Arabidopsis thaliana: one gene and its partner. The protein of the gene in region 2 interacts with the protein of the main gene of each other region in a pairwise test. Each region holds a gene or a part of one and is shown on either strand. Other genes may lie near its edges.

Evidence for each region. Proteins that work in one complex are often made in the same cells at the same time.
Region 1: the proteins of IRX1 (region 2) and GH9A1 interact in a two-hybrid assay, tested with the Arabidopsis thaliana proteins (one study listed by BioGRID).

Annotation. Positions count from the first base shown.
Region 1 is NC_003076.8:20,196,867-20,202,040, reverse strand, and holds GH9A1 (glycosyl hydrolase 9A1), read left to right. Parts: upstream 1-1,572; 5' UTR 1,573-1,872; coding exon 1,873-2,245; intron 2,246-2,323; coding exon 2,324-2,634; intron 2,635-2,707; coding exon 2,708-3,172; intron 3,173-3,288; coding exon 3,289-3,424; intron 3,425-3,525; coding exon 3,526-3,698; intron 3,699-3,868; coding exon 3,869-4,276; 3' UTR 4,277-4,650; downstream 4,651-5,174. Other genes in the region: FRO6 (ferric reduction oxidase 6), read left to right, coding at 1-314, 517-686; AT5G49710 (RING finger protein), read right to left, coding at 4,853-4,934, 5,034-5,142. UniProt on the Arabidopsis thaliana protein: Required for cellulose microfibril formation. Involved in cell wall assembly during cell elongation and cell plate maturation in cytokinesis. Required for secondary cell wall formation in the developing xylem.
Region 2 is NC_003075.7:10,312,081-10,318,559, reverse strand, and holds IRX1 (cellulose synthase family protein), read left to right. Parts: upstream 1-1,673; 5' UTR 1,674-1,840; coding exon 1,841-2,018; intron 2,019-2,110; coding exon 2,111-2,190; intron 2,191-2,273; coding exon 2,274-2,325; intron 2,326-2,419; coding exon 2,420-2,585; intron 2,586-2,668; coding exon 2,669-2,941; intron 2,942-3,032; coding exon 3,033-3,378; intron 3,379-3,474; coding exon 3,475-3,612; intron 3,613-3,684; coding exon 3,685-3,810; intron 3,811-3,877; coding exon 3,878-4,090; intron 4,091-4,172; coding exon 4,173-4,616; intron 4,617-4,689; coding exon 4,690-5,043; intron 5,044-5,126; coding exon 5,127-5,714; 3' UTR 5,715-5,936; downstream 5,937-6,479. Other genes in the region: NRAMP5 (NRAMP metal ion transporter family protein), read left to right, coding at 1-475, 551-775; MYB98 (myb domain protein 98), read right to left, coding at 6,003-6,479.

The sequences.
Region 1 (5,174 bases), on a different chromosome or scaffold from region 2:
ATTTATTTCAATGATCACATTGTTGGACATCTTTTACATAAAAAGATACAACATAACAACGTGGTGGTACAAGGGACTTCTATTTGTTGGTTGTATGGTTGCAAGTGTCTTGATTTTTGGAGGTCTTGTGGTTGTTTTCTGGCATCGCTGGGAACACAAAACCGGTGAAGTGGAAGCAAATGGCAACGACAAGGTAGATTTGAATGGAGAAGAAACCCATAATCCATCTGCAGCAGAGCTTAAGGGCTTGGCAATAGAAGAAGATGTCCAGAATTACACCACTATTCGTTATGGCACCAGACCGGCCTTTAGAGGTATACACTACAAAATTAGCGGTGTCAAGTCCAGTTATCTCGTTTTTTTATTTATAAAATTATAGAAACTGAAATCATTCGGAACGGTTTGACACGGTTTCGTTCGGTTCTTGAATCCGACTTTTGGTGTAGATATTTGGCTCGATTCGGTTAAGTTAAATCTTTGATTGGTTCATGTAATATTTTTATTTTGTAATTGCAGAGATATTTGAGTCATTGAATGGGAAATGGGGGAGTGTGGATGTTGGAGTGATAGTATGCGGTCCAGCGACTCTTCAGACGACCGTAGCCAAAGAAATACGGTCACATAGCATCTGGCGATCGGCGAATCATCCTCTTTTCCACTTCAACAGCCACAGTTTCGATCTCTAACGATGCTTTCAAGGCCAAAGAACATTATGGAAGGAAATTCGAAGACAAATTGATGCATATATTTTAGGTAATCTCTGTCAGTATGTACTATGGAAACAGCTATGGTTGATATGTGTATGTTTATCTTTCAGTTTTCGATGTATAAAGTAGAAATCAAATGTATGAGCATCTATGGTTTCTAGTTCTACACTTGTTGGTGTTTCTACATTGGACATTTAATATTAATTAAATGCAAGCTGATAAGTCCTATAATTACATAGCTGCCCATATATTTTCGGAATTTTTTAAAGTAGAGATATATTCATATATATATGAGGGATTAGATTCTATAATTACGAATGTATTTAATTTCAAATTAAAAGTTAGATTCTCATAATTCTCCTTACTTACTCTGTGAGGGATTAGAGTCGTAAAAATGACCACAAGATGTAATTTTTTTTTAGGTCATTGATCTACCATCAATTTGTCGGACACACTTATCTTATAAGTTTTAAATTTTAACAAATGTAAGTGAAATTTTGTGGTAGACTATCATTTTCAAGTAGAAGTAGAATTTAAGTAACCTTCCTTGTTATAATTTTTTTTTAAAAATTATGTCATTACTTAGAGCCCACCAGAAATGATGACGTGTAAAACACCATAATCATAAAGGATAAAATAAAATTATCATCCCACCGACAGTTTATTAGCGGAGATGTCTTTTTCCATCCACCCGACATTAGCCCATTGCTTTACTAGTAAACAAAGTATATGCAATTTTTTGTTAGAAAAAACGGTGCATAAAAAATAATATTTTAATGTCTCCGACAAATTTTAATTGTATGAAAAATAAATACACAAGATTACAAGTTGGCCAAAACGCTCAATCATAGTTGGCCAAAAATATACTATTCCAAAATTAGAGTTAGCTGTAACGTAACATGTACAAATAAACCAAACAAAACATATAATAACAAAATAATTGAAGTGAGTTTTAAAAAGGAAAAAAAAAAAAGAGTAAAAAACCAAAACCAGATCTCTCAAAGAGTCTTTGTACATTATTGACTAGAGAGAGCTTTTTAGCTTCACATTTCTTCACTTCCACACACTTTTACTTCTTTCTCTCTTCTCTTCTCTTCTCCAGATCTGATCCCAAACCTTTGATTCATTGTTGTTGTTCTCTGCTGCTTTATCAGAGAGCATCATCATGTACGGAAGAGATCCATGGGGAGGTCCATTGGAGATAAACACTGCAGATTCCGCCACCGACGATGATCGTAGTCGGAATTTAAACGATTTGGATCGTGCGGCTCTTTCACGTCCACTAGATGAGACGCAGCAGAGTTGGTTACTTGGTCCAACGGAGCAGAAGAAGAAGAAGTACGTCGATCTCGGTTGTATTATCGTTAGCCGCAAGATCTTCGTCTGGACTGTTGGTACTCTTGTTGCCGCCGCGTTACTCGCCGGATTCATTACCTTGATCGTTAAAACTGTGCCGCGTCATCATCCTAAGACTCCGCCGCCGGATAATTATACTATAGCTCTACACAAAGCTCTTAAGTTCTTCAATGCTCAGAAATGTAAGTGTAGAATCTACTTAGATCTGATAAAATTTAGATATAGAGTTTTAGATCTAAGTCTGATTTTGATTGTTGTAGCTGGGAAATTGCCAAAGCATAATAACGTGTCATGGAGAGGTAATTCTGGGCTTCAAGATGGGAAAGGTGAAACAGGAAGCTTCTATAAAGATTTGGTGGGAGGTTATTATGATGCTGGTGATGCTATCAAGTTCAATTTCCCCATGGCTTATGCTATGACTATGTTGAGCTGGAGTGTTATTGAATATAGTGCTAAATACGAAGCTGCTGGTGAGCTCACTCATGTTAAGGAGCTTATCAAATGGGGAACTGATTACTTTCTCAAGACTTTCAATAGTACTGCTGATTCCATTGATGATCTTGTGTCACAGGTACTTGTTTATGACCTTCGTAGGAGATCTTTCATATTGAGTTGTTTGTTCACTCGTTACATGTTTAATGTAGGTTGGATCAGGGAATACTGATGATGGAAATACAGATCCTAATGACCATTACTGTTGGATGCGACCTGAGGATATGGACTATAAAAGGCCCGTGACTACTTGTAATGGTGGATGTTCGGATCTCGCTGCAGAGATGGCAGCTGCTCTGGCTTCAGCATCTATTGTATTCAAGGATAACAAGGAATATTCTAAAAAGCTTGTCCATGGTGCTAAGGTGGTGTATCAGTTTGGAAGGACGAGGAGAGGGAGATATAGTGCAGGCACTGCGGAATCTAGCAAGTTCTATAATTCAAGTATGTATTGGGATGAGTTCATTTGGGGTGGTGCTTGGATGTATTATGCTACCGGAAATGTAACGTATCTCAATCTAATCACCCAACCTACTATGGCCAAGCATGCTGGTGCCTTCTGGGGTGGCCCTTACTATGGTGTATTTAGCTGGGACAACAAGCTTGCTGGTGCTCAGGTCAGTCCACACATAACAACCTGCTGTGTTTATGTTTCTTAGATATTCATGTCTTCTTGATCATTTGCCTTAACCATACTACTCTTGACTCTTTTGAATCCCTTTTGCGATTTTAGTTGCTGTTGAGCCGGTTGAGGTTGTTTCTGAGTCCTGGATATCCATATGAAGAAATTCTAAGGACCTTCCACAATCAGACCAGCATAGTCATGTGCTCATACTTGCCTATTTTCAACAAATTTAACAGAACCAATGGTTAGTTACCTTCCAGCTTTAATGTCTGCCTCTAATAAAACTCCAACTGTGGGGCTTGTTCTTGTTTCAGATATCTAAAATGAAATCTTTGGTATGTGCAGGAGGTTTAATAGAGTTGAATCATGGAGCTCCACAGCCGCTGCAATATTCTGTAAATGCAGCTTTCTTAGCGACTCTATACAGTGATTATCTGGATGCTGCTGATACTCCTGGATGGTACTGTGGACCTAATTTCTATTCGACAAGTGTGCTACGTGACTTTGCTAGATCCCAGGTATTGCTTCTTTTCCTTTACTCTTTACAGAAATGGTAATCTCAGATATAGTAATGGATAAGATCCAAAAATGACACTTTTAACCAAGATTGTACGAAGATCTTTTTAAACTCCATTTTTTATTTTGACATCTAAATTGGATTTAACTCGGCCTTGCTGTATTTTGGCAGATTGATTATATACTGGGTAAAAACCCTCGGAAAATGAGTTATGTCGTTGGTTTTGGCACAAAATACCCAAGACATGTGCATCACAGAGGAGCTTCGATACCCAAGAACAAAGTCAAGTATAACTGCAAAGGAGGATGGAAATGGAGAGACAGCAAGAAACCAAACCCAAACACGATTGAAGGAGCCATGGTTGCTGGTCCTGACAAGCGCGACGGGTACCGTGATGTCCGTATGAACTACAACTACACTGAACCGACTCTTGCAGGCAATGCTGGTCTAGTCGCAGCTCTTGTGGCATTATCGGGTGAAGAAGAAGCCACCGGTAAGATAGACAAAAACACTATTTTCTCAGCTGTTCCTCCTTTGTTCCCTACTCCACCACCTCCACCAGCACCATGGAAACCTTGAGAAAGCTAGACTTGTGTGATTCTGTCGCTGCTGCCAAAAAAAATGAATGAGGTAAGAAGGATTTGGGTGTGAGACCAGAAGATTAGAAGCTAAACACAAGTCAGCCATAACCAAACTACTAAGGATTTCATTTGGCTTTACTAGATACAAACACGGGGTGGGTTACTTTACCACAAGCATTGTCTTTCTTTTCTTTTTTTGGGTTGCTGTTTTGTTCTTGTGAGATATCATATATATCTATGCGTTTTACTCTGTATATGTTTGATACCAAACTTGTATTCTTTGATAAACAATTTAATGAACTGTATTAAACTTTTAACTATGTTTTATTGTGCAAGTGTGAGATCAACCTGGAATAACAACTGTAGTCTACTAAAATACGTGATTCTAGCATGCATTTACTCATTTAATGGATATAAACGATGATGCAGAAAGAATATTGCAGTAAAGAACGGAATTACATATGGCATTCTTTATACATGATGAAGTTGTATTCACAGAGATCATGGAGAAACCCAAATTAAACTGTTATCACAGTACACAGGCGAGATGTGTTCGAGAAGGCGTCATCGTCAATCAAACGAGCTTCGATATTACATGACATGACGCCCAAAAGGCCTTTGATGCAACCCTCAGGATCACGGGGTTTTGATAGATCCTGTCGGTGAAATGAACAAAATAAAAATGCTTGGTGAGAACGATAAACAATGGGACTATTAGATTTTGCAATGTAGAAGATGACTAGATGATATTATACCCTATAACAGTTGCGCTCCATGACGCTACGTTGTAAGCAACCTTACTTCCATCCCAGGCTTTCCGAAGTTTCCCCTTTCTATTCTTCACTGAGAACATCCTGCTAAGTGCTACATTACAATTCAAACACTAATGTTACAGT
Region 2 (6,479 bases):
AGCCGCGCTTTTTGTTTCGTTCATGATCAATTTGTTTGTAACTGCGGTTTTCGCGAAAGGGTTTTATGGAACCAAACAAGCTGATAGTATAGGACTGGTTAACGCGGGATATTACCTACAAGAGAAATATGGCGGTGGTGTTTTCCCGATACTATACATTTGGGGGATTGGTTTATTAGCTGCTGGACAAAGCAGTACTATAACCGGGACTTATGCTGGACAGTTTATAATGGAAGGGTTCTTAGATCTTCAAATGGAACAATGGCTATCAGCTTTTATAACGAGAAGCTTTGCTATTGTACCTACTATGTTTGTTGCTATTATGTTTAACACATCCGAGGGCTCGCTCGATGTTTTAAACGAATGGCTTAACATTCTTCAGTCGATGCAGATTCCTTTCGCGGTTATTCCTCTTTTGACTATGGTTTCTAATGAACATATCATGGGTGTCTTCAAGATCGGACCTTCGCTTGAGGTAAAGCAATTTTTTGTCATCTCTCTTTATTGTTATGTGCTTTTGATTGTAACGAGTTAGTTGGGATCTTTGCAGAAGCTAGCTTGGACTGTGGCGGTGTTTGTGATGATGATAAATGGGTATCTTCTTCTAGATTTCTTCATGGCTGAAGTGGAAGGGTTTCTTGTTGGGTTTCTGGTTTTTGGTGGAGTAGTTGGATACATCAGTTTCATCATCTATCTTGTTTCTTATAGAAGCTCACAATCTTCTTCCTGGTCGAGTTTAGAAATGTCAGAGAGAGTTGTTTCCACAGAGACGTAGAAACCCATAACTTTAGTATTCTTCAACCCTTACAACTTATCTGAGCAAAATCAGAAGGTCGAATTTGATGGATGGTTTTGCTGTATTTGGTCAACGGTTTTATTTGAGACAGTAGACCAGAGGAAACTCAGATGTGATGATGCAAAGACTGAATTGGTTAAGAGTGTAGATTGATTTGTTCTAACATTGCAAATGTAGAGTAGAATTATGCAAAAAACGTTAATGAACAGAGAAGTGATTAAGCAGAAACAAAATTAGAGAAGTGATATTATATCTCAAAATTTATTTTTGGTACAGCTAAAGCTCAAATTGTTATAGAGATTAGAGATATTAAACCAAATGACGAGTGTTTTCTTTAGTAGTAAACGGTGAAAATTCTCTTCTGACAAAGACAATTAAAATTTTAGGTTTAAGACTTTAATATTTGTCACAAATTGTCATTTACCTAAATAAAAAAAAAACTAAATATTTTTTTTAGATACATATGTGTCTTATAATTTTAACTATAAATTTTAATTTTATGTCTTAAATAATTGTTTACACTATAAATTTAAATATTTTAATGCTAAAATTAATTTGATTCAAAAAAGTGATTTTAATTCTTATTTTTCTTATAGAAAGTTGGTGATTGAAAAGATTTACTTAAAAATTATAACAACTTCAATGGTGAATAACCCGACCCGAATAAACCGGATATAACAACTTCAATGTTAGCTTGATATAGAAAGTACGGTGACGCTTAGGAGGCAAGCAAGCTAGTATCTGCCGCTGGTTAGAGACAAAGAACATGTGTCACTCCTCTCAACTAAAACTTTCCTTCACTTTCCCGCAAAATCATTTCAAAAAAGCTCCAAATTTAGCTTACCCATCAGCTTTCTCAGAAAACCAGTGAAAGAAACTTCTCAACTTCCGATTTTTCACAATCCACCAAACTTTTTTTAATAACTTTTTTTCCTCTTATTACAAAACCTCCACTCTCATGGCTTCTCAAACTTGTTATCCATCCAAATCTCAATCCCTAATTAGGGTTCATTTCTCTGTTTCTCCAAACAGGGGAATTCGAAGATGATGGAGTCTAGGTCTCCCATCTGCAACACTTGTGGTGAAGAGATTGGTGTAAAATCAAACGGAGAGTTCTTTGTGGCTTGTCATGAGTGTAGTTTCCCGATCTGCAAAGCTTGTCTTGAGTATGAATTCAAAGAAGGTCGAAGAATTTGCTTGCGTTGCGGCAATCCTTACGATGGTACAATTATAAATTTACAAACTTTATTCGAAAGTTTGATTTTTTGGTTAAAGAGTATTTATAACTTGTTTTGTTTTGTTTTGCTTTCATAGAGAATGTGTTTGATGATGTTGAGACAAAGACATCTAAAACTCAATCCATTGTTCCAACACAGACCAATAACACTTCTCAGGTTTGTGTGCTTAGCTAAGATTAGTTGCTTTTATGTCTTAATTAGATTTTACAAATTTGAGAACATTATCTTGACTTTTTCAGGATTCAGGGATTCATGCTAGACATATAAGTACAGTCTCAACAATAGACAGTGGTAAGAACTAAGAAACAAAGCCAAAATCTTTGTATACATTTGGTGAGGTTATTAATAGTTTAACTAACTTGGGGATTGTTGTTTCTTCCTGAAGAACTGAATGATGAATATGGCAATCCAATTTGGAAGAACAGAGTGGAGAGCTGGAAAGACAAGAAAGACAAGAAGAGCAAGAAGAAGAAGAAAGATCCAAAAGCAACAAAAGCTGAACAACATGAGGCTCAGATTCCTACCCAACAGCACATGGAAGATACGCCACCGTAAGCACATCCTCGTACTAATCTAATAACATTCACCAAAAAGTTTGAGACGTTGATTTGGTCTCTGCCGTTTGTATTCTCAGGAACACAGAATCTGGTGCTACAGATGTGCTTTCGGTTGTGATTCCTATCCCAAGGACAAAAATCACTTCATATAGGATTGTCATCATCATGCGGTTGATCATCTTGGCTCTGTTTTTTAACTACCGTATCACGCATCCTGTCGATAGCGCTTACGGTTTATGGCTAACATCTGTGATATGTGAGATTTGGTTTGCTGTTTCTTGGGTGTTGGATCAGTTCCCTAAATGGTCTCCTATTAACCGAGAAACTTACATCGACCGGTTATCCGCAAGGTTACAAATGTTTTATAACCGTTATATGCTTAATCTGCGCAGTTACTACCAATCTTTAAGTTTTATGAAACCATTTATCAAAACTATGCAGATTCGAAAGAGAAGGCGAGCAATCACAGCTTGCAGCTGTAGATTTCTTTGTTAGTACGGTAGATCCATTAAAGGAGCCACCTTTGATAACTGCAAACACGGTTCTTTCGATCCTCGCGCTTGATTATCCGGTGGATAAAGTCTCTTGCTATGTATCTGATGATGGTGCTGCAATGCTTTCGTTTGAGTCTTTGGTTGAGACAGCAGATTTTGCTAGGAAATGGGTACCTTTCTGCAAAAAGTACTCCATCGAGCCACGAGCTCCCGAGTTTTACTTCTCGCTTAAAATCGATTACTTGAGGGATAAAGTTCAACCTTCTTTTGTGAAAGAACGTAGAGCCATGAAAGTAAGTAAGCAAGGGCTTTAAAACCTTAAATTAATCTCATATAGCGTTAACCGATGATTGAATCGAAAACTTAATGTCTAATTTCTCTTCTTGTAGAGAGATTATGAAGAGTTTAAAATAAGAATGAATGCTTTAGTCGCCAAGGCTCAAAAGACACCAGAAGAAGGATGGACAATGCAAGATGGAACATCTTGGCCCGGGAACAACACTCGTGACCATCCCGGGATGATTCAGGTTTGCTAGCTAAAACATTTGACCTGAAATGCTCTGTCTTTTCTTGTTAGTCACGTAATTTCTTTCTTGCAGGTTTTTCTTGGATATAGCGGTGCTCGCGACATTGAAGGAAATGAACTTCCAAGATTAGTTTACGTCTCTAGAGAGAAGAGACCTGGTTATCAGCATCACAAAAAGGCCGGGGCAGAGAACGCATTGGTAAACTTCAAAACTTTTTCTTTTATCGTTCAATTTAGCACAATCCTAATGATTTTGTTCTTTGTAGGTGAGGGTGTCTGCGGTTTTAACGAATGCTCCATTCATTCTTAACCTTGATTGTGATCACTACGTCAACAATAGCAAAGCCGTGCGTGAAGCAATGTGCTTTTTAATGGATCCTGTTGTTGGTCAAGACGTTTGCTTTGTTCAGTTCCCACAGAGATTTGATGGAATCGACAAGAGTGATCGATATGCTAACCGCAACATTGTTTTCTTCGATGTAAGTTATCTCATACTCATAACTTCAAGCAAAGTTTTGAGATTTCTTATGATATTTTGTGGTTTTGATATGATGTTTTCAGGTTAATATGAGAGGGCTTGATGGGATTCAAGGTCCAGTTTATGTTGGTACAGGTACTGTCTTTAGAAGACAAGCACTTTACGGATACAGTCCACCTTCAAAACCGAGGATTTTACCGCAATCTTCATCATCGTCGTGTTGCTGTCTAACCAAGAAGAAACAACCTCAAGATCCTTCCGAGATTTACAAAGATGCAAAGCGAGAAGAACTTGATGCTGCAATCTTTAATCTTGGGGACCTAGACAACTACGATGAGTACGACAGATCGATGCTGATTTCACAAACAAGCTTTGAGAAAACGTTTGGTCTCTCTACGGTTTTCATCGAGTCTACTCTTATGGAGAATGGCGGTGTTCCCGACTCTGTAAACCCGTCAACGCTCATCAAAGAAGCTATTCATGTCATTAGCTGTGGATACGAAGAGAAAACTGAATGGGGAAAAGAAGTAAGTGCCTTGTTTCTTCATATCAAAGTTCTCTTGTGAGTACATTTTATAACCTTTCGTTCTGTTTTCGCAGATAGGATGGATTTACGGGTCGATCACCGAAGACATTTTGACGGGTTTCAAGATGCATTGTCGTGGATGGAGGTCGATTTACTGTATGCCATTAAGACCAGCATTTAAAGGATCTGCTCCAATCAATCTATCAGATAGGCTTCACCAGGTTCTACGTTGGGCTCTTGGCTCGGTTGAGATCTTCCTTAGCCGACATTGTCCTTTGTGGTACGGTTGCAGCGGAGGCCGCCTCAAGTTGCTCCAGAGATTAGCTTATATAAACACTATTGTCTACCCATTCACTTCTTTGCCTCTTGTTGCTTACTGTACTCTTCCAGCTATTTGCCTTCTTACCGGCAAATTTATCATCCCAACGGTAACTTTTTCATACTACTAATTACTTTGGTTAGGTTACAGCAAGATTGAGAATTTGATCTTTGTTTCTGTTCTTTATTGCAGCTATCAAACCTAGCAAGCATGCTGTTTCTAGGTCTCTTTATATCAATCATCTTAACGAGTGTCCTCGAGCTTCGATGGAGCGGAGTCAGTATCGAAGACTTATGGAGAAACGAACAGTTTTGGGTTATTGGAGGTGTCTCAGCTCATCTCTTTGCCGTTTTCCAAGGATTCCTCAAAATGCTCGCTGGTCTCGACACAAATTTCACAGTCACATCGAAAACCGCAGATGATTTAGAATTCGGTGAGCTTTACATTGTCAAATGGACAACTCTCTTGATCCCTCCGACGTCACTTCTTATAATCAACTTGGTCGGAGTTGTTGCTGGATTCTCTGACGCTCTTAACAAAGGTTATGAAGCTTGGGGACCTTTGTTTGGGAAGGTATTTTTCGCCTTTTGGGTGATTCTTCATCTTTATCCATTCCTCAAAGGTCTTATGGGAAGACAAAACAGAACACCTACTATTGTTATTCTCTGGTCTATCTTGCTTGCTTCTGTGTTTTCACTTGTTTGGGTTCGTATCAATCCTTTCGTCTCCAAAACCGATACGACTTCCCTTTCTCTGAACTGTCTTTTGATCGATTGCTAAGAGAAGATACGTTATGTTTGTATTTTGAAAGATTGATCATATGTGTTTTGGTTGTTTTATAAATTTTCATATGGTTGCTTGAGCCACAAGTTAAGTAATGTTCTTATTTTAGCAACAAGTCTTGGCGGGTTCCGCAAGTTAGGTTTCTATTGTTTCAACATCAACATGTTTTTAAAAAGCAAAATATTTTATATCTTTTCAAATTATTGAAGTTTGGTGGAATCTGTCTCGTATAAAAAGACAAACAAAAAACAACAAAACTGAAACAAGCAGAATAAAAAATACAAATCAGAGTCCATGAACAAAAGCATCAATGTCAGGCTGAGGAATGTCATCAAGCAAAGAGTCAATGCTACATCCTTCCTCAAGCAGCTTCTCATTGAATCCAAAATCATCAGTAAACACACATTCAGGCACAATCCTGTCTTGTCCATACACCTCCTCTTCCTTCTTCTTCTCCTCAACCGCAACAACAACATCCTTCTTCTTGTTATTACTCTCTCTGCGTCTACCTCTTGCAGGAACAGAAGAAGCCATCAAAGCTCCCATATTCAAGCTCTTGATGTAATCCTGCAACAGAGAAGGTCTTGGATACTTAGATCTACATTTTCTTTTAGAGAATTGTCTTCTTTTTGTTGCGTTCCAATGGTTCTTGATCGAGTTCTCTGTTCTTCCCGGGAGTCTTTTCGCAATCTCTGCCCATTTGTTTCCAATCTCTTTGTGAAATTCTATCAACACTCTGTCCTCTTCTTCACTCCATGTTTC